2 linked regions of the Tamandua tetradactyla genome follow. The protein of the gene in region 2 purifies or fractionates together with the protein of the main gene of each other region. This does not show direct contact. Links are inferred from orthologs where the notes say so. Each region holds a gene or a part of one and is shown on either strand. Other genes may lie near its edges. The genes, in order: MAP2K2 and KSR2.

What was found.
Region 1: the proteins of KSR2 (region 2) and MAP2K2 purify together in Homo sapiens (affinity purification with mass spectrometry; 3 studies listed by BioGRID and IntAct, with this or other methods). This does not show direct contact. The link is inferred for Tamandua tetradactyla from reciprocal best matches to the Homo sapiens genes KSR2 and MAP2K2.

Annotation. Positions count from the first base shown.
Region 1 is NC_135337.1:77,912,474-77,923,283, reverse strand, and holds the start of MAP2K2 (dual specificity mitogen-activated protein kinase kinase 2), read right to left. Parts: upstream 4,445-10,810; 5' UTR 4,380-4,444; coding exon 4,288-4,379; intron 147-4,287; coding exon 1-146. UniProt on the Homo sapiens protein: Catalyzes the concomitant phosphorylation of a threonine and a tyrosine residue in a Thr-Glu-Tyr sequence located in MAP kinases. Activates the ERK1 and ERK2 MAP kinases.
Region 2 is NC_135331.1:18,272,929-18,284,349, forward strand, and holds the start of KSR2 (kinase suppressor of Ras 2), read right to left. Parts: upstream 5,380-11,421; coding exon 5,200-5,379; intron 1-5,199. UniProt on the Homo sapiens protein: Location-regulated scaffold connecting MEK to RAF. Has very low protein kinase activity and can phosphorylate MAP2K1 at several Ser and Thr residues with very low efficiency (in vitro).

The sequences.
Region 1 (10,810 bases), on a different chromosome or scaffold from region 2:
CACCCAGCTCCGAGATCCTTTCAAAGTCATCATCCTTCAGCTCCCCAACCTTGGCTTTCTGGGTGAGGAAGGCTTCCAACCGCTTCTTCTGCTGCTCGTCTAGTTCAAGTTCCTCTAATTTCTTCTGGAGGTCCACCAGGTTTGCTCTGCAGAGACCCCAAGGGCAAGGGTTAGTAAGGAATGAGCAAGTCACCAAGAGATGGGTCAAGGTGACCCGCGTGGACTGTGGGGCCGATGTGCACCAGGGTTTGTGGCTGGAAGGGTACAGACATGAGCGGAACCCATTCTGCACTCGAAGGGCTGACAATTTAGACAAGAAAGACACCTGCGGGCGGGTACACCCCTGCAGGTACAGGACTGACTGCAACAGAAGGCCAGCTCCTCGGGAATGGAGGGCACAGCCGCAAAGCCTGTTCCCAAGGGACCTCAGGACCTCCAGGACCTCCAGGTTCTTGATCCTGGACTGAGACCCAGGGGTCCTGCATCCTGGTACAATGGCTCCTGACTCATTTAAAAGGAAAGGTGAGACTTGGGAAACGAGTGATGGGCCTGTCTTCCAACAGGCAGAGGGGCAAATTTGGTTCAAATGGCCTCAGGGAGAATGAGAAAACTTCCACGGGTGGAAGACAGAAGTTCCACATCCAAGCATTTAATTTAACAACATTGAGGAGGGAAAAGGCATCAATTGTGCAGGAATGCCAAGGCTTTCCACTCATCAAGACTGCTCTCCTTATATCCAGGAGGTCACTGTAAACATGCACATTCCTGAACCCAGTTCTAAAAAAATAATAGACCCATAGATGACATGCTTGGGGGGTGGGGGAGAGGAGAATAGTTCACCCTTTGTTGGATGATTTAAGGAATTTTCAAAGGAAACTGACCATAAGCTATTTTCACTAATGCCTTGATTTTGAATGAAATCCTGGAGAAAAAAGCAGATCCCTGTAATAGGGAGATAGACTTTAGCTCACTGTCTGGAAGGACAAACCCACTAAGGTCCAAAAGAGTAAGACTGTGAACCATGTGTGTGATTAAAATGTTTTGGTAGCTATGGTCAAAGAAAAACAACTAAACAAAACAGGCAAAATTAATTTTAGGGACATACTTTGTTTAAATCAGCACATCACTATTATCATCCCAGCATATAATCAATGTAAAAAGATTAACGAGTTTCTCCTTTACATGACTTTCTTCCCCCTTACGAAGGCTCTAGAATCTGGGATGGATTTTATGCTGAGATATCAACACACTGTACTTTCAGTGCGTTCCGTGGCCCAGGCCGGTGGACTAGCTGGGGTAGGTCCAAGCAGATTCTAGGGAGAATATGGGGGTACAGTGGGTTCAGACCAGCAGTTCCTGAAGGTTCTGATATGCAATGAACTGTGCCCCCCAAGAAGATATGTTGAGATTTAATTCTCCAGGGCCTCAGAATGGGACCTTATTTGAAAATACAGATGGAACCAGGTGAGTTAAAATGAGTCATACTGGAGTAGGATGGGCCCTTAATCCACCATGACTGGGCTCCCTATAAGAAGGGGAAAAGGCCACGGATGACAGACCACCGTGAACTGCCAGTAGGCCACCGCCAGAAGCCAGGGAGGAGGCACGGAAGAGATTCTTCCCCACAGGCTTCCTAGGGAGCAACTGGGAGAAGACATAATTCCGTTATGTTTTAAGGCCCAAGTTTGGGTTGCTCTATACAGCAGCCTGAGGAGACTAGGGCAATGTTTAAGCCCAGGTTGAATGCCCACCTGTGGGAGATGCCATAAAGGGGATTCAAGGAGGGGACAGAAGGGTGGATAGATGTGATTCACCTTTGGGAACCTTCCCATCCTGAAGTCCAACCATTACGTACAACTTAAGGAGGCGGGAGCACAGTACCTTGGGGGTTGGGGTGGGCAAATCTGCGACTCAACCCTGGGAGGAGTCATTTGAGCTACTGCAGCAAAGAGCTTTCTAGGAGGCCTGTGGCTAGCTGGGTACCCCTTTTCAAGCATGTACTAACATGCCAGGAGCTGTGGGCTTTGTGAAGACCAACTTGTCCTGGGAGGCAAGGGCCCATAGAGGCTCAGGAGCTTACCTGAGGCCATGGCCCTTAGAAGTGGCAGTGCCTGAAATGAACCTATGGCATTCCGGCTCCCACCCATGATCCCTGCCCGAGTCTGTAATGCCCTGGGCCAGGACTGGACGACCTGGTAGGAGCCTGCTGAATGCCTGTCAATCAAGACCTGGAGCAGAGAGTCCCAAGAAGGTCTCTCTGATAGAGGCCAGAGGGCAGACAAAGGAATGAATACATGTGGCACAGTTCACCGGGGACTTGCAGCCAGTGACAGGATCAAGAGCCAGCTTTGAGGCCAGAACCGGGAAGGCTCCTGAATCGGCCCCCTGACATCCAAAATGCCTCCCGGAGTCAGCGGATGAATCCATTTGAAATTGAATGGCAACTCCACTGAGGTTATCAAAAACCCTGGAATTTCAAGGGCTGGCCATCTGGGTTGGGGGAGTTTTTGATGGGATAGAAATCGGAAGCCTTGGAAAAGAAAGCACTCTCTTGGGAAGAATTAAGAAGCAGGTCTCTAAGTAGAACGCTGGTGCTGGTGAACGGTGTGAGCAGACATGCACACACCCACTGGAAGGCCCAGGTGGGATGGGAACACACACCTTGCCCTCACACCTGGACCTACAACAACTGCGGTCCGCTCCAGCAGGAACAGGAATGGGGAGGTCTAGGGGTGTGGCCTGGGGCTAAGCACTTCCAGGCCCCTGGCTTTTGCCATTACGTGCCACCCAACCTTCTACATCACTCCTTGTCCCGGATTTCCATGCTTCCCTCTCCCCCCGCCCACACACTGCACAACTGCCACCTTGGAACCCCACTGCCCCTGGGCTGCTCCTCTTCAGGACCCTGTCCCTGGCTTTGTGGAAATCCACCCACTCACCCCCAGTTCTCACACCCCCAGCTCCCTTAGTTGCCCCCCCCCCCCGCCCTTCACTTCAGAATCTCAGCTCCCAGCGGGTTCTCCCACCTCTTTCCTCAACCCCTCCCCATTCTCCCCATACTCCCTGCCCTTCTGGGGCACATGCCCCTCCCTTCCTCAGAGAACCCCCCCCCCCATCCACCCCACCTCCGCCTCCCAGAGGTCTAATTCCTCCCTAAGCAGTATCTTCTCCTTCACTGTCTCAGGTTCTTCACCTGGAGACCCCTCAGGCTCCCCATCCATCTGACCCCTCCCCAGTCCTGACCCTCTGAGGCTCTTGACCTCAACATGACCCCTCAGGTCTCCCTCCCTCTTGATTTCCCAGGACCTACCCCCCACCTCTAAAGGACCCCTCCCCCATCCTGACCTCTCAGGCTTGCTCCTTCCTGACTCCCTTGGGACCCCCCCACCCACCCTGAACTACTGAACCTCACCCTCCCCATCCTGACTCCTCTGGGTCCTCTTCCTCATCCAGACTCCTTGGGGACCCTTGCCCAAGCCTGGCTTCTCAGGGGTCCCCTTCCCTCTGTCCCCTCCCTGCAGTGAATCCACTGGAGTCCCTTAGGACCTCCCACCCTGTCCTTCCCCCACGATCCCTCACCCCTCCCTCACCTCACTACTCACAGACTCCCTTCATTCCACCCGGACCCACAGGGGGCCCCCCTTCCCAAGACCCCTCAACCCATCCTCACCGCTCAGGAATGCCCCTCAGCTCCTCCTCCCCACCAAGATCCTTCACCCTGACCTTAATACTCAGGGACCCCCTCACCTCTTCTTTTCCCCACACGGACCCCCCACTGTCCCATTTCACTACTCAGGGACACCCTCACCCCATCATCTTCCCTCAGGAAGCCCCTCACACCACTCTCAATACCCCATCTTTTCTCCACAAGGTCTTCCCCTCATCTCATCTTCCCACAAGGACTCCCTCCAGCCCAACCTCACAACTTTTCTCCCTGCAGGGACTCCCCTCAGGCCGATCTCACTACTCGGGGAACCCCCCTCCCCATCTTCTCCCCACAGAGACCTTCACTACTCAGGAAACTCCCACCTTGTCTTCCTCCTGCAGCAATCCCCTTTACTCCGATCTCGCTACTCGGGGACCCCCCTACCTCGTCTTCACCAGGCAGGGACCCCCTTTAAGCCAATTTCACTACTCGCCCCCCCCCCCCCCGTATTCTCCTCGCAGGGACCTCTTTTACCCCGACTTCGTTATTTGGGGTCCCCCCACCCCGTCTTCTCAGCGCAGGGACCGCCCCTCACCCCATCCTCTCCCGCAGGGTGCACCCCCGCCCCGCCCACCACTCACTCGGAGGCGCCCTCGCTGGTGGGGGACGGGCCCTCGGCGATGGCGGGGTTGATGGTGAGCGCCGGCAGCACCGGCTTCCTCCGGGCCAGCATTGGGGCTCCGCGGGCCGGGGGCGGCGGCGCCTCTAGCCGGGGCCCATAGGGGGCGGGCCGGGAGCGGGCGGTGCCGACGCGAGCCCGGGGCTGGGGCTGGGGCTGCGGCTGCGGCTGCGGCTGCGGCCTAGGCCGGCGCCGAAGCAGCCGAGGGTGAGCGGCGCTGCGGACCGAGGCCGAAAGGGCGCTGGGGCTGAGGCCTAGGAGCCGCCGCCACCGCGGAGGCCAGACCGAGGCTGACGCTGCAGCGGGACCCGGGAGGCCGAGGGCGGGGAAGGGGAGGGACGAGATCGCGAGCGACGTCTCGCGAGAGCGAATCCCGACCGGCGCGCCGGATCCCGCCCCGCAGCTGCCGCGCGTGCGCACCAATCCGAGACCGCCCGCTTCGAGGGGAAGGGGGCAGAGAGATCTACGCGAGGCACTGCCGAGAGCATGCGCTCTCGCTCGTCTCCCACAGGGTGTGTGCGCATGCGCCCGGGTCGCCGGGCCTTGGAGAGTTGGAGGGGAGGGAAGGGGTGGGGTGAGATGGGGTGGGGCGAGGGTGGTTGGAGCGCCTAGAGTAGGGGGAGGTAGCTGTGGAGGGGATGAGCTCGGAGGAGTGGGGTGGAGACGGGTCTGACCGTTTATAGCCTCGTAGATATCCCAGACTGGGCATATGTGAATCTGTAAAATTGCAAAAAGTTGTGAAGACCGGCCCGGATTCGATTTATCCTTTTTCACATTTTCTGTGTTCTACACTCATCCACCATTACCAGCACCGCCGCCTCTAATGCCAATTATTCCCGTTCTTTCCTGAGAGAAGGGTCATTTTAATCCCTCCAAAGTCGAGAAGCGCGTGGCCTGGAATACAAGACAGTCATTTAAATGGGGGGGGGGGAATTGACCTCATGAAAGTCTCACCCCTTGTTTTCTTGGTATTGGATCTCTGAGCACCTGTGTACATTTCGTAGGTGTGCACATTTGGGAGGCACGTGGAAAGCGAGGCCGGCTCAGATGACACCCTCCAAGGTCCAGGCCCCCAATCTCCCATGGCTCAGTCCTGCCCACTTCGAATTAGCCTCCCCTCCATCTTTTTTTTCTTTTTTTAGGTTACTTTCTTGCTTTTTATGTGTCAGGTCCTGTGCTGGACACCAGAGATACAGTGTCAAAAATAGTAAGAACACCTAGAGCAATATAAGATTCTGGGAAGGTTCCATGCATGTAGTTTCCAAGCATGTAGGTTTCCAGAAACCTACAACCTCCAGATGGGTCCCTGGTCCAGATAACTCCTGAAATTAGAGGGCCCAGCCTCTCCAGAACATCAGCTAGTTCCATCCCCCTACCCCATATTACTGACAACCCCTTCCAACGTGAAAATGTTAGAATGGGCATAGCCCAAATACCCCTAAAGAGCGGGGGAAAGATAGAAGGTGATGGTGGAGTTATAAAGAGAAGGTGGGGTTTAACAAAGCAGTATGAGTGCTGAATCATTATATTGACATTTCTTTTAGTCTCTAGTATTTTAGAGCAGCTAGAAGTAAAAACCTAAAAGTGTGGAATTGTAATCCATACCAAACTCTGAAATCTGTTCTACAATTAATTGTTGTGCTGTGCTTTGAAATTTATTCCTTTCATGTATATATATTATTTTTCACGAAAAAAAAAGTTGATTTTGATGATAACAACAACAAAAAATGCATAAGATAAGCATACATTGTGGCAAAATGTCATTTGCACAGTTGTGGTCTTCCCCGAATTAAATCTGCTTCCCCCTAAGTCTGCTCTGCACCTTTAGAATAGAACCTTTTCAGCTTTGTCCTTCACTGTTCCCAAAAACCCACAATTCAGGCCTCAAATAATGCCATGTCCTTTCACAGCACTGGGTGTTTCCTTGTGTCCTGCCCAGCAATCATTCCCTTCTTTTATTATATTTGTTTTGTTTCAATTTTGGCTACATGTAGTCTTTTTTTTTCTAATTTTTAAAAATTTTTATTGAGCTACCAATTACATTTAATAAACATGGGGTTCTCAAATGTTCAATTCATTGAATTTTTACAATTGAACACATCTACGTAACCATCCCCTGAAATGAGACAGGCAGTACAATATTTCCATCACTCCAGAAAGTTTTCTCTGTGCCCTCTCCAACTTCACCACCACCCCCACCCCATCTCGTTTTTCAAACAAGAAAAAAAACGGGAGACTGATTTATAGCATTTGCCAGTTTCCACGGTGGAAATACTCCCACCTTGGATGATTTCCAGCTACCCTGAAGGCAGAAAGATGTGCTAACAGTAGGAGAAGTTTTTGCTTTTTTTAATGCAATTTTATTGAGATACAGTCACACACCATAGAAACCATCCAAAATATACAATCACTGGCTCCCAGTAGCATCACATAGTTGCACATACATCCCCATGATAATTTTTAGAACATTTTCATTACTCCAGAAAAGAAATAAAAATAAAACCCAAATCCTCCCAGCCCATACTCCTTATCCCCTCCCCCATCATTGACCCATAGTTTTGGTGTGGCACATTTTTTACTATTGATGGAAGAAAACCCCGCAATTGTTGAGCTATAACCCATGCCAAACTTTGAAATCCATTCTATAACTACTTGTTAACTGTACTTTGTGATTTTTGCATATGTGTTATATTTCACAATAAAAAATGTTAAAAAGGAAGAGTATTAAAATATTACTGTTAAATGTAGTCCATAGTTTGCACTAAGTACATTTCCTCCATATACCCCGCTATTCTAACTCCTTGAAATAATTTCATACATCTGCTGTAGTTCATGACAGAACTCTATATATTTTTACAGTTAATCGCGGAGATTGTCCACCCCAAGATTTACTGTTAGATGAGTAAAACGTGGATTAAAAATAATAAATAATAGGGGGAACAAATGTTAAAACAAATTTAGTAGATTGAAATGCTAGTGATCAATGAAAGGGAGTGGTCAGGGTCTAGAAAAAAAATAGGGGAAACAAAGGCTAAAATACACTGGGTAGATGGAAATACTAGCAGTTAATGAGAAGGAGGGGTAAGGGGTATGGTGTGTATGAGATTTTTCTTTTTATTTCTTTTTCTGAGTTGATGCAAATGTTCTAAGATATGATGGTGGTGATGAATATACAATTATGGGATGATATTGTGAGTTGTGAGTTATTGATTAGATACCAAGAATGGAATGATCATATGGTAAGAATGTTCATGTTTGTATGTTGTCATATTTTTTTTAAAAATCTAAAAAAAAAAAAGATTCCCTATTATGCATTCCCATATTTTCACCTCCAGCTTTGCTTCTGGTGATATATATGACTCTAAACTTCCCCCTTCTGGGTGGGGCCACGGTGGCTTAACATACAGAGTTCTTTCCTGCCATGATGGAGACCTGGGTTCAATTCCTGGTGCCTGCCCATGCAAAAAAAGAAAAAAAACCACTTTCCCTCTCCCAACCGCATTCAGCCCTATTCAGTGTTCTCACGATAACCTGCTACTGTCACAACATTTTGTTGTGTTACTAGTAAGTTCAACCTAATTAAACATTTTTCACATGTTAAGCAACCATGCCCCATTCTTAGGCAGTGGGATAAATTGTGCCTGTCCCTAGAGTTTCATATAGATGGAATTGTATCAGAATGAACTCTTCTATGTCTGGCTTGTTTTACTTAGCGCAACATCCGTGAGCTCACGCACGAGGTAGCACGCCACCGTAATTTGTTCTTTGCTCTTGCTGCACAGTCGTCCCTTGTACCTACTTTGGGACTTGCCCTCGCAATGGAATAGTGGGATTTTGTCCTCTTCTTGAGGACAGAAAGTGAACAGGATTTTCAACCTCGGATCCCCTGAGTTGGTTGCTTGTCCCAGCTTCCTAGAATTCCCAAGGCATAGATCTGTCGCTGGCTTATAGATAGCGCCTGTTGCATTGACACAGGTTCTAATTGTTTGTCTTTTTTAGGTTCTCATTCTTTTAGTGTGCTTTCCTTTCTACTTACTGAACTTTCTGAGGGCAAGGAAGATGCCGGAACTTGTTTCCTCTTTTCCCAGTCCAACTTCTTGGATATGTTTTATGCATGATATATATATGCTGCAAGGATGAATTAAATACATGTGCTCATCCTAGGTTCTCTGCGCTTGTTATAAAACATTCACTTCTACAGCTCATGAGGTTACAGGGCAGATTTACAACCTCCACCCACTTTCTATCTTTATCACCAAGCGTGTTTTCTTACCTAACCTCTCCCTGGTGGTACATATATTTCCATTTATCGCTGGTTCCAATCACATCTTTCTTAGTACATCTGTTCTCTGATGTACTACAGATTTGGGTGTCTTCTTGGCTCCACCCCACCCCCACCCCACCGCCCCAGGAAATAAATTCCTAATAGCTTTGTTGATAGATTCCACTCAAGGTGACCTTTATCTTGTTTAGGCACAGTCTAAACAAGATAATATTAATATCACATCTGTACACTGTTCCTATCTCAAAATGCACCCTGAACTTTATCTCCCACTCTCACCTGCGGGATGGATTAACTGAAAGAATGGCTGACCCCACAGCTTTGAGAAGCAATCTATCTTAATTGCTATGACGCAGCAATTCTACTTCTAGGCACATTCTAGGCAGTACACTAGAGACACGTTCAGTAGGGTCCCCAATGGCAAAAATCCAGAACCCCCGCGGTTCCATTGATGGGAGAATGGAAAAATACATTTGGGATTGTCTAAAAGGTGATATTATGCAGCAGAAAACTTACAAACGATAACTCGGAAAAGTCTTAGAAGCATAATGTTGTTTGGAGAAAAGCAAGGTACAAAAGATCTCCTGACACCATTTTTATAAAATTAAAATGGCTCAACTTCATTAGCCATTAGGGAGATGCAAGTTAAAACCATGATGAGCTACTACCTATTAGACTGGTTAAAATTTAAATTCCGACAATACCAAGTGCTATCAAGGATGCAGAGTGACCGGAACACGCAGACATGCCTGGTGGGTTACACAATGGTACAGCCCCTCTGGAAATCTGGAAAACAGCTTGGTAGTTTCTTAAAAAGTTAAACATACACAACTCAGCAAGGACATTCCGAGGTATCTACCCGAGATGCCTCATGTATCGCACAGAAGTCTGAACGTGAATATATATAGAAGCTTTATTTGTCATCGCCCCAAACTGGAAACAGCCCAAATGTCCTTCCACGGGTGAACAGATAAACAAATCATGGAACGCTGCACAGTGGAATATTACTCAGCTATACACAAGGATAAACTACTGATATACTTATTTGCATGAGTCTCAAAGGCATGCCAACTGAAAGATGGCAGTCTCAGAAAGTTATGTTCTGCTTGATTCCATTTACGGGGCATTCTTAAAATGCCAAAAGTACAGAGATGGAGAACAGATCAGTGATTGCCAGGACTTGGAAGTGGGGGTGGGGGGGACAGTACAACTATAAAAAGGTAGCATAAGGCAGTTCCTTTGTGGTGACAAAATGTGCCTGTATCCTGTTTGCAGTGATTAGATGACTCTACACGTGTGATAAAATTTCATAGAACTGTGCACACATCAAAAAGAATGAGGGCACATAACGGCTGAAATCTGAGCAGTCTCTGGTTTAGCTCACAGTAGAGTACCCATGTAAGTTTTCTGGTTTATAATAGCGTTCTCCGGTTACATAAGATGTTATCATTGGGGGGAAGTTGGGGGGAAGGGTACACGGGAATTCTCTGTGCTATTTTTGAAACTTTTGTGAAGATCTAGAATTATTTCAAAATAAAAAGTAAAAAAAAACAGGGAAAATGGAGACTTACGATGTTTCAGGGATACAAAGCTGCGATAAAGTGGTTTGTGGGGGAGCCTGGGAAAGCAGGGAACTCATTCTTCTTGGTGTACCTGGCTCCTGCTTATTAACTGGGCTCAAAGCCTGGGTCCTGTAGTCGTTGGTTGTTTTTCCTCCTAAATCTAGTGGCTCCCTGATTATTCATTTCACAAAGGATTCTGGGATCCTCAGCTGGCCACTGAGCTCCCAGGTTAGAGTTCCAGATAAAAATCTAAGCTTGCTTCCAGAGCCTCAATCGATTGACTCACCATCCTCGGGCGCAGTGTTCAGGGAAGAAAACAGGATGCTCTAAAGATTTTTGCAGTATCATGCCAGAGTCACCTTGTGCCAGGTTTGCAGGAACCGGTTGTTAATTTTCCAGAATTTTGCAAGTGGATTGTCAATCTATTGCCAACGCCTGCTCTAGCATCAAAGGAGGAAATAGTTTCTTTGCAAGAGGGGAAACTGAGGCCCGGAGAGCTGAAGTGAGTTTTTCCAGGCCCCACCTTCCTGAGGGATTCCACCTTTTACCAAATTATCCAAAAGGCACCCTGAGCATTTCATAAGGAAACTCGCGATCAAATTCACAAGTATTATTAAAAAATTTATAAGCTAGTATTAAAA
Region 2 (11,421 bases):
GTTGCAACTCCTAGTACCCAGTGGGAGTGGTCTGGCTTGGCTTCCGGGCCTCAGCCTAAAGAGGCCTTGCAGCTTTCACTTTCACCCTCACAGACCGCTGGAGCCCTGTGAGGAACCAGGGCTATCCCACCAAGCAGACCACACAGAGAGAGGCTCGGCTGGCTCTGTCCGCAGCCCACAGGCCTCTCAAACATGGCCACACGCAGGAATCCAGGAAACTAGAAGACCCTCCCAGCCAATCCTGATTCACAGAGAGGCTGAAAGATAATACATTTCCTCAAGCCCAGACTTTCCCGAACTAAAGTAAGTTTGGGGGTACAGCAAGAGATTGTTGAAAAGGGAACATACAAAAAACAAATAATTGTTATGTGCCTGGCTGCACAGGGAAGTATGGATTAGGAAGGACAAGGAAGTACGGATTCCAAATTTATCCCCACCCTCAATCCCTGATCTTTCCCTCCTCTTACACTAACCCAACTGGTGTCCAGTTTAGAACCAACTGCACTTGGCCAATGCCTTTGACTCCCAGTGTTACTTGCTCGCCTTTTGGATGGTCTCCAGGTCCAGGCCCTCCCAAGTCCCATCCACCCTACAGACCGGAAATCAGCAGGCTGCAGCCTGCAGGCCAAATCTGTCCCACCATTCATTTTTGAAGGCCTAAAGTCTAAGAATAGTTTTTATTTTTTTAAATGTAAAAAAAAAAAAAAAAAACTCAAAAAATATATGATAAATGAAAATAATAGAAAATTCAAATTGCAGGGCCCATTAGCAAAGTTCTGTGGGAAACAGCCACACCCATTCAATGACGCGTTGTCCTTGGATGTTTCTGTTGCACAGCAGCAGAGTCAAGAAGTTGTGCTTGGGAGTATGACCTGGAAGGCCTCAAATATCGACCATCTGGCCCTTTACAGAATAACTTTGCAGGCCCCGGCTGCAGACTACCATCAGACTAAACTCTCAATTGTTTTATTGGATTCACTCTTCCCACCAAGGAATGAAACACTATTGATCTGACCCCTCCACCTTAGACAGATCCTAAGAGTTAGTGGCCTAAATTCATATCCCAGGTAACTCTATCATGCGCCTCCCTTCTGGGCAAGTTGGTCTCGAAGCTGTCGCATGAAGGAATAACAGTGCCTTCATCTAGGTTGTTTTCTAGGGAGCCCCTCTCCTTCCCTTTGCAATCTGAATTCGCCCCATCCTTCCATCCATGCCGAATCCCCATCTCCCCATCCAAGGAGGCTTCTGTAAGTGCTTCGCTCAGTGTTTCCCCAAGTGAATTCCATGGAACACCAATCCCAAGGGATATTCTTGGAAAAAGAAAGCCCAGTAGACTCTACCCTCTCTTGAGATCTCATAATGCATTTATAGCACATTAAAGGCTCTGAGGTGTCCTACAGTAAAGATGCCTATTTCCCTTTGTTTAAGTCAACCTTTCCCAGACTTGATGGACCACAGAACTTGTCTTGTCTATAGAGCACTAGTGGACAGTCAGTACCCATAGCAGCAGCTGAGCATAGCAGATACTCAAAAGTATCCATTGAAAGAATGATAAATGCTAACATCCCAGAATTAGGGTTCCACAGAACACACTCTGGAAAAACTGCCCAAGCTCTTTCTTCTCTCTGTCAACTCTGAACTAATCCCGTCCATGTCATCTATTCCACACCTTATACTAATAATCAGCATAATAATAGCAATCATTGATTCAACAGCTACAAGTGCTGTGCTAAGGACAGTGCCAGACCCTTGAAATGTCATCTCTCTTAATTCTCACAACCACCCACTCAGGTAGGTACGGTTATCCTGTTGATGTCATTTGGTCAATAATAAAATTATGAGTCAGAAAATTTAAATCACTAGCCCACGATAAAATAAGTAGAAGAGCCAAAACAAAATGCTATCAGTCTTGCTCTAAAGCTCATGAACTTTCTTCTCTGCTGCACTATCTCCTAATAACACCCTGTGGGGCCCACATTCCTAGATATTCACTTGTGATCTCCTTACGGCTTTTCCATGCTAACAGAACCCCGATCTTGGGCGGGGTGGCAACAGGTAAACCCAGGCAGTGGCCCATGACCAATCCGTGCCAATCACAGCGGTGTTTCCACGTTCCCATCTCCTAGCCTCCTTTGCAACTAGGAGTAGCCATTTGACCACTGCTGGACAAGAAGACATAATCAAATGTCATCTGTCACGTAGAGAGAAGAGATGTCCTGCGAGAGGACTCTTTATTTGAACGCTTTCATTCCTTCACACTTACACATTTCTTCTCCTTTCTGCCTTGAACCAGACTTGATGATGGCTGAAGCTGCAGGAACCATCTTGCCATCTAACGCAAAGTCCGTGAGAATTCACAAAGGCATCAAGCCCTGATGTCGCTGCCCTACTGAGCAAAGTCAAGCAACCTCAGACCTCCAGAAGTCTTGTTACATAAGAAAAAATAAGCCATTATTGATCTCACAGCTGTGGTGGGGTTTTCCATTTCATGCAGCCCAACACATTCCTAGTTGATCCACAAACCGTCCTCCATATTATTTACTGTTCAGGCTTTATCATTTATTATCAAATTTTATTAATTATCATATATTATTGACTCCCTAACTTTGAAGTATGCTCCTTGAAGGCTAAGCCCATGCTGTATATTTTTGTTCCTTTAGGAAAATATGCATATTGCCAAATTGTGCTTAATGTTACGTTTTCAGGGATGGTTTATTCCATTTAATACTTACTTTAGTGTTTGTAAACAGGGAGGTGTCACCATTAAATAGATGAAATAGCCTGATTCTCTCCCACTGGATTAATAGTGCTCAAAGTGTCTATATGCAAACATGCATCAAAAACTGTAACCCATACAAAACTCTGAAATCTGTTCTATAACTAATGGTTGCGGTATGCTTTGAAATTTTTTGCTTTTTTTGTATATATGTTATTTTTCACAATAAAAAAAATGTTACAGCCCCCCACACAGACTGTTTATTAAATGTAGATTCCTAGGCCCCGGCCCCAGTCCCAACCAATAAGAGCTGAGTATCTGAATTTTAATGAGCTCCTCCGGTGATTTTGACATATAAAATGAGCCCAGCTGGGACAGAAACCCCTGTGGATTCAAAGCCAACGTAAGATTTGACAAGATTTGGAAGGGCCTTGAGTTACCAGCCCCTCCTTGCTGGCCGAACCCTAGCCCTCGAGATCTGGGAAGCCTAAATCGGCACAACTGCTAATGCCCCTTGCCTGGCAATGTGGGTGAAGTGGTTGGCATGCTCCGTGGCATACTGAGGCTAAGAAACTAACACAGAGATGCATTCCCCATTGTTACCAGGAACCCCTACCATACCCATGCCTCCCTCTCCCAGTCTGAAAAGACACATGAAGCAGAAAAGAAGAAACGAAACCCAGTGCCCACTGCAACGAACAGTACTTTCTAGGAGTTTTTGAAGGATGGCATGCGTTGAAAAGAGAAAAGGGAAAACTCTGGAGAAACTTACACAGTATGACACAAGCTGGCATCTGGGACTCCTGACTCACTGGAACAGAAGAGATACCTCAAGCTGGCCCTTTTGAGTTATTTACTTATTTACTGAGGGCACTTGAACGGAATTTGATCTTGAGCACTGTCCAGACAGAGACAGAAGGCAGGGTCCGAGCTTCCCACACTTTTTCTTCCAGCAGCAGAGTCCTAGCCCACATTGCTTTCCCCAGCACCGAGAAAAGCAATACCTGTACCTGCCAACGAAATTCCCACCACTTGACATTTATCTTTCACTCCTGAGGATCGTCTCACATGACAGGTGCACCTATAAACGCACCTAGGGCAGCAAACAGCCTATTAAAACACACACGCACTAACCGCTCTTTCAAACAGATAACCTTCCCGCATGCTGACATCCACCCAGATTTTAAAAGCATAGAAGGAAACGGAAGACCCGAAAAGGAAACAGAGAACTGCTCATCCACGCTAGCAGAGGGGCCCGAGGGCTAAGAGATCTACTGAGCACTGAAGAGTTCAGGCCTTAGAAACTCATGAGCCCAAAATGAAGGGTGAACCTCCCAGCACAGCGCACGCCCACTCCACCAAAGGAAGAGCCCTTTTGGTTTGCTCCCAGCCCCATTGCCATCGCCTTCTGCAATTGCCAGCTCATGGGAGTTTCAAAATTCAATCAAGCCATGTGTCCAGCTGGTGCAGGTTTGAGGGAGTGGAGTAGTCGGCCCCTCCAGACATTTACAACACGGGAATGCCCACTGATGCATGGACTGCAAGACTTTTCATCCCTCTTGCAACCTTCCTCCAGTGCCCAAATGGCCTTCTGAAGAAATCATTTCTGCCATCTTCCGAGTTAACTTTGTATCCACTTCTGTCTCCTTTCTTCCAAAAAACTGCTTCAAACTCCCCAGTAAGTTCCCTGGGAGAGACTCTCTTACAACACCCCAACATAACTCCTCCTCCCGACCAGCCCTTCCAGGACCCACAGAGTTGAGAGGCTCTTCCCACACCACCTGTGTGTGCAGATCCAGGCTTATTTTTTTTTTCTTTTCACACATTTTAGGGCTGCAACAGCTCAGTGCATCAAAATGATTGGATTGGAAACGGACAGCTCAATGGGGGTTCCCCCCACCCCCGGCAGGTTTCCTCCTGACATGTCCATGATTGAAAAACCGAAATCCAAGGAGCAGAAGGGGAAGGGGGGATGCGAAAGAGGCCGGGAGAAGAAGAAGTCTCTATTTATAGGCAGCCCCCTCTCACCAGCCCCAAACCACCTTTTGCCCACCTGCAGAATGGCAGGGTCATGTGGGCTCTCTGCGGATCCCCAGCGTGTCACCCAGCACCCAGGCCCCCGCGGCATATAAACAAATCCACAAGCGGAAAAGAAAGAGAGAGAGAGAGAGAGAGAGAAAGAAACTCCCTCCCCGGGAGCTGATAACGACAACGGCAGCAATGATAATAATAAATAAAGAATAACGCTACTACTACTACCACCGGCACCCAGCCCAGCGTAGACGCGCAGCGGCACAGCTCAGGCACAGCCAGTGCGGGCTCTGCAAGAGAATAAATCACAGAAAACGGAATCCTGTCCACCTTACTGCCTTCTCCCCCTCCCCAAGCCCCCCACAAACAATCAGAGGGGAAACGGATGGTTGGGGGGGGTGGGAAGGGGAGGGAAGGAAGGATTGCTTTTTACCCCCCGTAGGCACACCTACCTCCAGGGTCCGGATCTCTTTTTGTGTGAGGTCGTTGGAGGTAGCGCATTTGGTCCTGAGCCCCTCCAGGTTGGATATGCTGAGATCTATCATGTTTTGGACCAACTCGCACTGCTGTAAGGCTTTTTGCAAACTCAGAGGCTGCTGCTCCTCGCTTTTCGTCATGTTTTCCCCATCCATCGCTTGCTCTGCAACCCCCCTTCCCCTCCTCCTCCTCCTCCCAGAGAGAAAAAAGGGGGGCTGGGGGGGTGGAGGTAGTCTACCCCCGCCGCCTCTCCAACCACCGCGACTTCTCAATGTCTCATAAAGAAGAAACCCAACATCTCACACAGGGTTGGGGGGCGGGGGCGGGAGGAGGGGACAGGAGCCAAAATTTATTATTTTATTTTGGGGTATCAGGCAGACTCCATTAGAATGTCTCCTCTCTCTGAGTCTCTGGTCCCTGAAAAGGAGAGATGCTGTTTCTCAGAAGCAAACCAGGTGATGTGATGCTGTCTGTGCACTTAGGGGGGAGGAGGAGGAGGAGGCAAAAGAGGAGGAGGAGGAGGTGGAGGAGGAGGGAGAGACCGAGGAGGAGGAGGAGGAGGGAGAGGAGGAGGAAAAGGAAAATAGCGCTCACTCTTTACACACCGGCTCCGTGAAGGACAAAATAATATATTTTTGGCTGGCTGGCTTTTTATGTTAAAAAAAAAAAAACACTAAAAAAAAAACCTGGTTTTTCCCCCCTCCCAGCTGCAGTGACATGGCATTGTCCACCGTTTGGGGTGCTTTAGGGCGATCTCAAGACGCTGCCCGCACTGCTCCCGCGGCTGCGGCGCCCACTGCGGCTGCTGCTGCCTCCTCCGCGCGCTGCTGCTGCTGCCGCGGCCGCCGGGCTCCGGGGGGGACGGCTGCTGCGCTCGCTCCGGCCTCGCTCCACACCGACATCTTGCCTGTCAATCAAGGGCTGGGGGGAGCGGGGGAGCGCGGGCGAGGGATGGAGAGCCGGCGAGGGACCTGCAGGGGAGCGGGTTGGTGGAGAGGCGCCGTGCGCGCGTCCGCCCCAGCCGGGCCCCGGCCCCCGCGCGCCAGGGACCCGCTGCTGGAGGCGGAGGAGGAGCGCGCGAGCTCGCGCACCTGGTCGGGGGGGGGCGGCGGGGGAAGGGAGCGCTCCTGGCGGGGCGGGGCCGGGGGCGGGGACGAGTGGGAGGTGGGGGCAGTGGGAGGAGAGCAGGGGGCGGGTCCTCTGGGGGCCGCGGCGCGCGCGTGGCAAAGTGAGCTGACCCCCGGGCGTGCGTGTTTGCGAGCCGGCGGGCGGCGGCCGGCGGGCGGGGACGTGGGAGCGAGCTCGCACGTCCGGCCGAGGCTGCCCCCGGGGCGGTGGAGATCGCAGGGAGAGTGCGAGAGCCGGGAGGCTGCCGGAGTGGGGCGGGGAGAGGGAGCCGGCGGGCGGGTGGGGGTGGGAGCCACTACTACGGCCCCGCTCTCGCGAGAGGAGGCCACAGGGCCGCTGAGCAGGTGCGCTCGGGCTGGGAGCAGGTGTGCACCTAAGTTTAACCCTTAGCGCGTGCTGGAGAAATGTCAGCGTGAACCTGGGCACGTACTCCCTGCCTTTCTGGCTCAGTGTGTGCGTGTGCCTGACTGTTTGCTCGTTTGTCCTTTCGTATTGACTAGGGAATAATAAAAAAAACAAACTTGATGATCGTCCATGAACTGTAGGAAGCTGCCTCCCAGAACTGGTTCTCTGGCCAGCAGTTACCCTGGCTGGTGGATGTCCGCTTAAAGAGGAAATAGGGGCTTTGCCTTATTCTCATTGTTAGCATGTCCTAAAAGGGTCTACATGATCTGACCCCCAGCCTACTTAATCGACCGTCTATCCCACCCCCCTCTAAATACACACATACACACCTTTCTTTCCTTCTGTTTCTCTAAATAATGGGTCAGCAAGCTATGACCCCAGGCTGGGAATGATTTTAACATTTTTAAATGGCTGGGAAAAAATCATATTTTGTTGACAATTGACAATCATACAAAACTCACATTTCAGTATCCATAAATAAAGTTTTTATTGGAACCAGTCATCACTTATTTATATATTGTCTATCTTTGCTTTGGAGCTATATAAACCAGAGTTGAGTAGGTGCAATGGAAAACATATAGCCGGCAAATCTAAACTGTTTACTCTCTGGCCCTTGACAGAAAAAGTTTGACAATCCCTGCTCTAAATCACCAAACTTACTCTTGCACTAGGGTTCTCTCCCCTGTGGCTGGATAGAACTTTCCTTATCTTCTCATGGCTAACCCCTTCTTGTCAGCCAAACTCAACTCAAGTGCCATCTCAGAGATGCTTCATCTCCCGGACCACCTTATCACATAGTACTCCCAACACGCACTGCCAGAAGAATGTATTTATGATGAATAGCTCCTCTTTTTCCAGGTGTGCAGAGCCCCATATGAGGGAGCTGGGCCTATTGGACAGAGTGAGACTCAGAATACACGGTACAGTATGTCTCCCCTAAAGGAGGTCACCTGAGAAGTAGAGAAAATAGCCAGTGATGGCCAACTTGGACAGCAAACTTCTTTTCCCCCTTAGATGGTGAGCCATGGGGTTTTATTGGCTCATACAGAGCTGAACGGCCTTTTCAAAATCTTTCTGTAAATGAGGGACTCAAATGAGTTTTCTAGGCTCTCAGTCTTTTGGACTAGGGAGTGTAAGGGTTTCATTTCTCTGGGGAAGTTCTCTTTCATATTCATCATGAGCATTTTAAAGCCCTAATGTCCAGTTCACCTGTGGGTCTAGTTCAATGGACTATTTTTCTCTTTGTTTTCAGTAACTTGGGCCTGTCCCTTGTCAAGCCTTGTGAGTTTAATTTAATGTCAGATATTGTGTATGAAAAAAACAGAGGATCCTGGCAATGTTACCTAACTCTGGAGAGGACTTCTCTGCAAAGCAGATGGCATGGGGACTGATGGCCTTATTCCAATCAGGAGCTGAGATGGGCGGAGACTGGGTTGCAGATTTGGAAGACACCGTCTATGGCTGGCCCCCACATCTAAGGCTTTGCCCCCCGGGGGTTCCAGCTGAGACCGTGGGTGGTCGCCAAGGTTCCCCTCTCCTTGTCTTGTTAGCATGGCGAGACTGCTGAAAGCTCTGCTCTGCTTATCACGGGCTTTGTGTTTGGCCTCATGCCTTGCACAGCTTCAGAATTTCAGGAAAATCACCATGTATAAGGCTCACTCTTTTTTGCACTTCCCTTCTCTCTGGGATATTAGCCTCTTAAGTCCCCAGTTTTTCTCTCCAGCACTGTGAGACTGCCAGGCGTTCTGTTGATTTCTCTGTCTCCCACTTGCCTGGAAAAAGTGTAGACCCTCAGCCTCTTTTTCTATGCCCCAGGGACACTGTAAATACCCCCAGGGAAAAGGTGGCCACAGAATGTCAGCTCACCTCGCCACAGCTCCCTTCTCTCCAGAATCTTGGTGCCTCCGGTCCTGGTTGCTTCAGCAGCTCTCTGATACCTTTAAGCAGATAATGGTGATGATGGTGATGATGGTGATTTGATCTAACTTTTCTGGTGGTTCTCAGAGGACATAGAAGTTTAAACAATGAAAGTAATCCATAGATCAGATGTCCCGACTGGCAGGGCTGTAAGCAGCATACAAAATACATTGTTTGCGCTCATCTTTTTTTTCGATTGGTTAAGACAGGGATCATTTGTTCTGTTTTGCATGTACCCAGCCTCTTTTGGATACTTTTCCGAGGTTGGAAAATACCCCACATTGTGAGTCCCAATTCTCTGTAATAGAAACTGTAGCATTTTCCCAGTGTTCTTGCAACCAGGTCTCATGCTTGTGATCTTAGGCTCTGCCATTAGCAGACTGCATGAGATTTCTTTTGATAACTGAGCAAAAACAGAGGAGGAAACTATCTGACAGTGAGCGTGACAGCCAATGCACCTGCTTACAGGGGTCCAGTCCTCTGTGTTAGCAGAGCATGCTATGGTGCCTGTGCTGGGGGACGGGGCAGCCCCCGCAGTGTGATTGGGACATCCTTCCTGGCTGCATAGCCCAAGCCTGGCTCTTTTGCCCTTCTGGAGATCCTATAGGCTTTCTAAACTTCCCTATAAAAGTATTTATGTTTACACCACCTGGAATAGAGTGTGTCATTTGCATCAAAGAACCCTGGCTTACGTTCTTACCAATAATTCAAAAATCAAGAGATACTGCAAAAATGCAAATTCCAAGCTTTTATCATAAAAATTGGAAATCTGGCTACTTTGGACAACAGTTGGCTAAAGCTAAGAGGCAGCCACCCCTTTCAGACAGGGCACTACTGTCGTCACCCAGTCCTTTTCATTCATCATTTCTGTTTCCTACCTGGCCCCTGCAGGCACTTGTGTTTGGTACCCCTGAATAGCCTAAGGTTTTTTGTTTGTTTGTTTTTTGTTTTGTATGCTGTATGGTGGGGTCACATTTCATTCTTTTTCCATTTGAGTATCCCGTTATTGCAGTTGAATTTTTTCTTTGCTTGTTTTTGTTGGTTTCTTTGTTTGGGAAGTGCATGGTGGGTCCCCCACGTGGCAGGTGAGAATTCTGCCACTGAACTACCCTGCACCCCTAACTTAAGGTGATTTGCACCCCACACTGAAAATCCTACCAATTTCAAGCCTAGAGGGCTGGAGCCAATTGATGACATTTTTGCTGTTGTATTTTATCCTAGAAGTTCATGCTGCTTCTAAAGGACATATGTGTTTCAGTGGCTTTATCGATAGTGGGAATAAATTACTGTCACTGGGTTAATGAATGAACTGAACTGGACGGGGGAACAATGAAGCACTGGCTTTACTTTTTTTTCTCTCACAGCCTTTCCACACTCTAGCCCATTGTCAGATCTCCTTCTCCTGCCCCTTTGCAAGATCTAGGGAGATCTCACAGCTTTTCAGTACTTTCAACTATAACGGTCTAATTTTCAGACATTAAAAGTCCAGTCCAATAAAAACTCCATTCTCATATTCAGTTCAAGAAATATGTCTCTCCCCTACTCAGATCTGATGCTCGGATGGCTCAGGAATCTGCAGTAGAGACAGGGGGTGTTTGTCCTTTCTCTCCACCTCACCAGCTCACCTGAGAACAGGTGAGAACAGGTATCATTTTCTCTTGGGTGTCAAATGTCCACTGATGTCTTGGCAAGTGTCCACCCAGAGTGTCACATAGGGCACACTAGGGGATCTTTGGAGAATCCCATGGGGACCTCTTGGGGACCCAATGCAAATGTCCAAAACCTCTCACACACTGGTTTCCAGTTCATCCCCCAGGCAGCACCACACGTCCTCTTTCTGAGTTCCCTTGCCTGGCAGGCGTCCCTCTTGGGTGAACCTTTTCAAGACTATGCAGACCTAAGTATACTCCTGGTTAGTCATCTGGATATGGGAAACAGGCAGACCTTGGCCCTGCAAAATGGCAAGCACATTCTCTGCTGCCCTCTCTCCTCACCCTGCCAACAGGGACAGCTCCAGGCAGCCTTCAGCAAAGAAGTAAGAGACCAGCCAGCCCCTTTCAAGGTGTTCCCTTGACTTGAGGGTAGGAAGGAGAAGGAAAAACCCCTATCAAGGCCTGTCGACAAAACCTCTTATGGATAAAACCTTGACCTTGTCTTATATAGTTTGGAGCTTGATGGCTTTTGATGGTCAATGGGCCACTCTGGCCCCCCCTTAGCAGAATGAGGAAGTATTGTCCTCCACTGCCCTCACCTGTGAAAACTTTAGCCGAAGTTCTGGGTCAACAGGAAAAGTCTTGTTTTACACCCTGTTATATCAGTGATGGGCCAGCTGTGTTGTTTTCTAAGTTGCACTGGGAATAGGGACAAAATTGGGAAACATCTCATCAAAAGATAAGAGACTATCACTGTTCCTACAACTGAGAAAACCAATGCTGACTTCATCTCGAAGGGCTCTGCGTATTGCTTTCCCAGGGCATTTCTTTTCTCTCTCTTTTCCTTTTTCTTTCTGTTTCTTCAGAAACTAAATAAACAAATCAGAGAATGCTAGTCCCCAGGATACAACCAAATCCCCCATAGCTGTCAGAGAATGCTTATGTTTCTGCTCTAACGCACCGAGTCCCCAAATCTAAAATGCTTTAAAAAAAAATAACTTTGATGAGGACAGGCAGACGGTTCCCATCTTGAACCTTATGAGGTTTTCGCCAACATCAGAAAACAGACTTTTTCGTAGATTTCTTCTCCCTTTG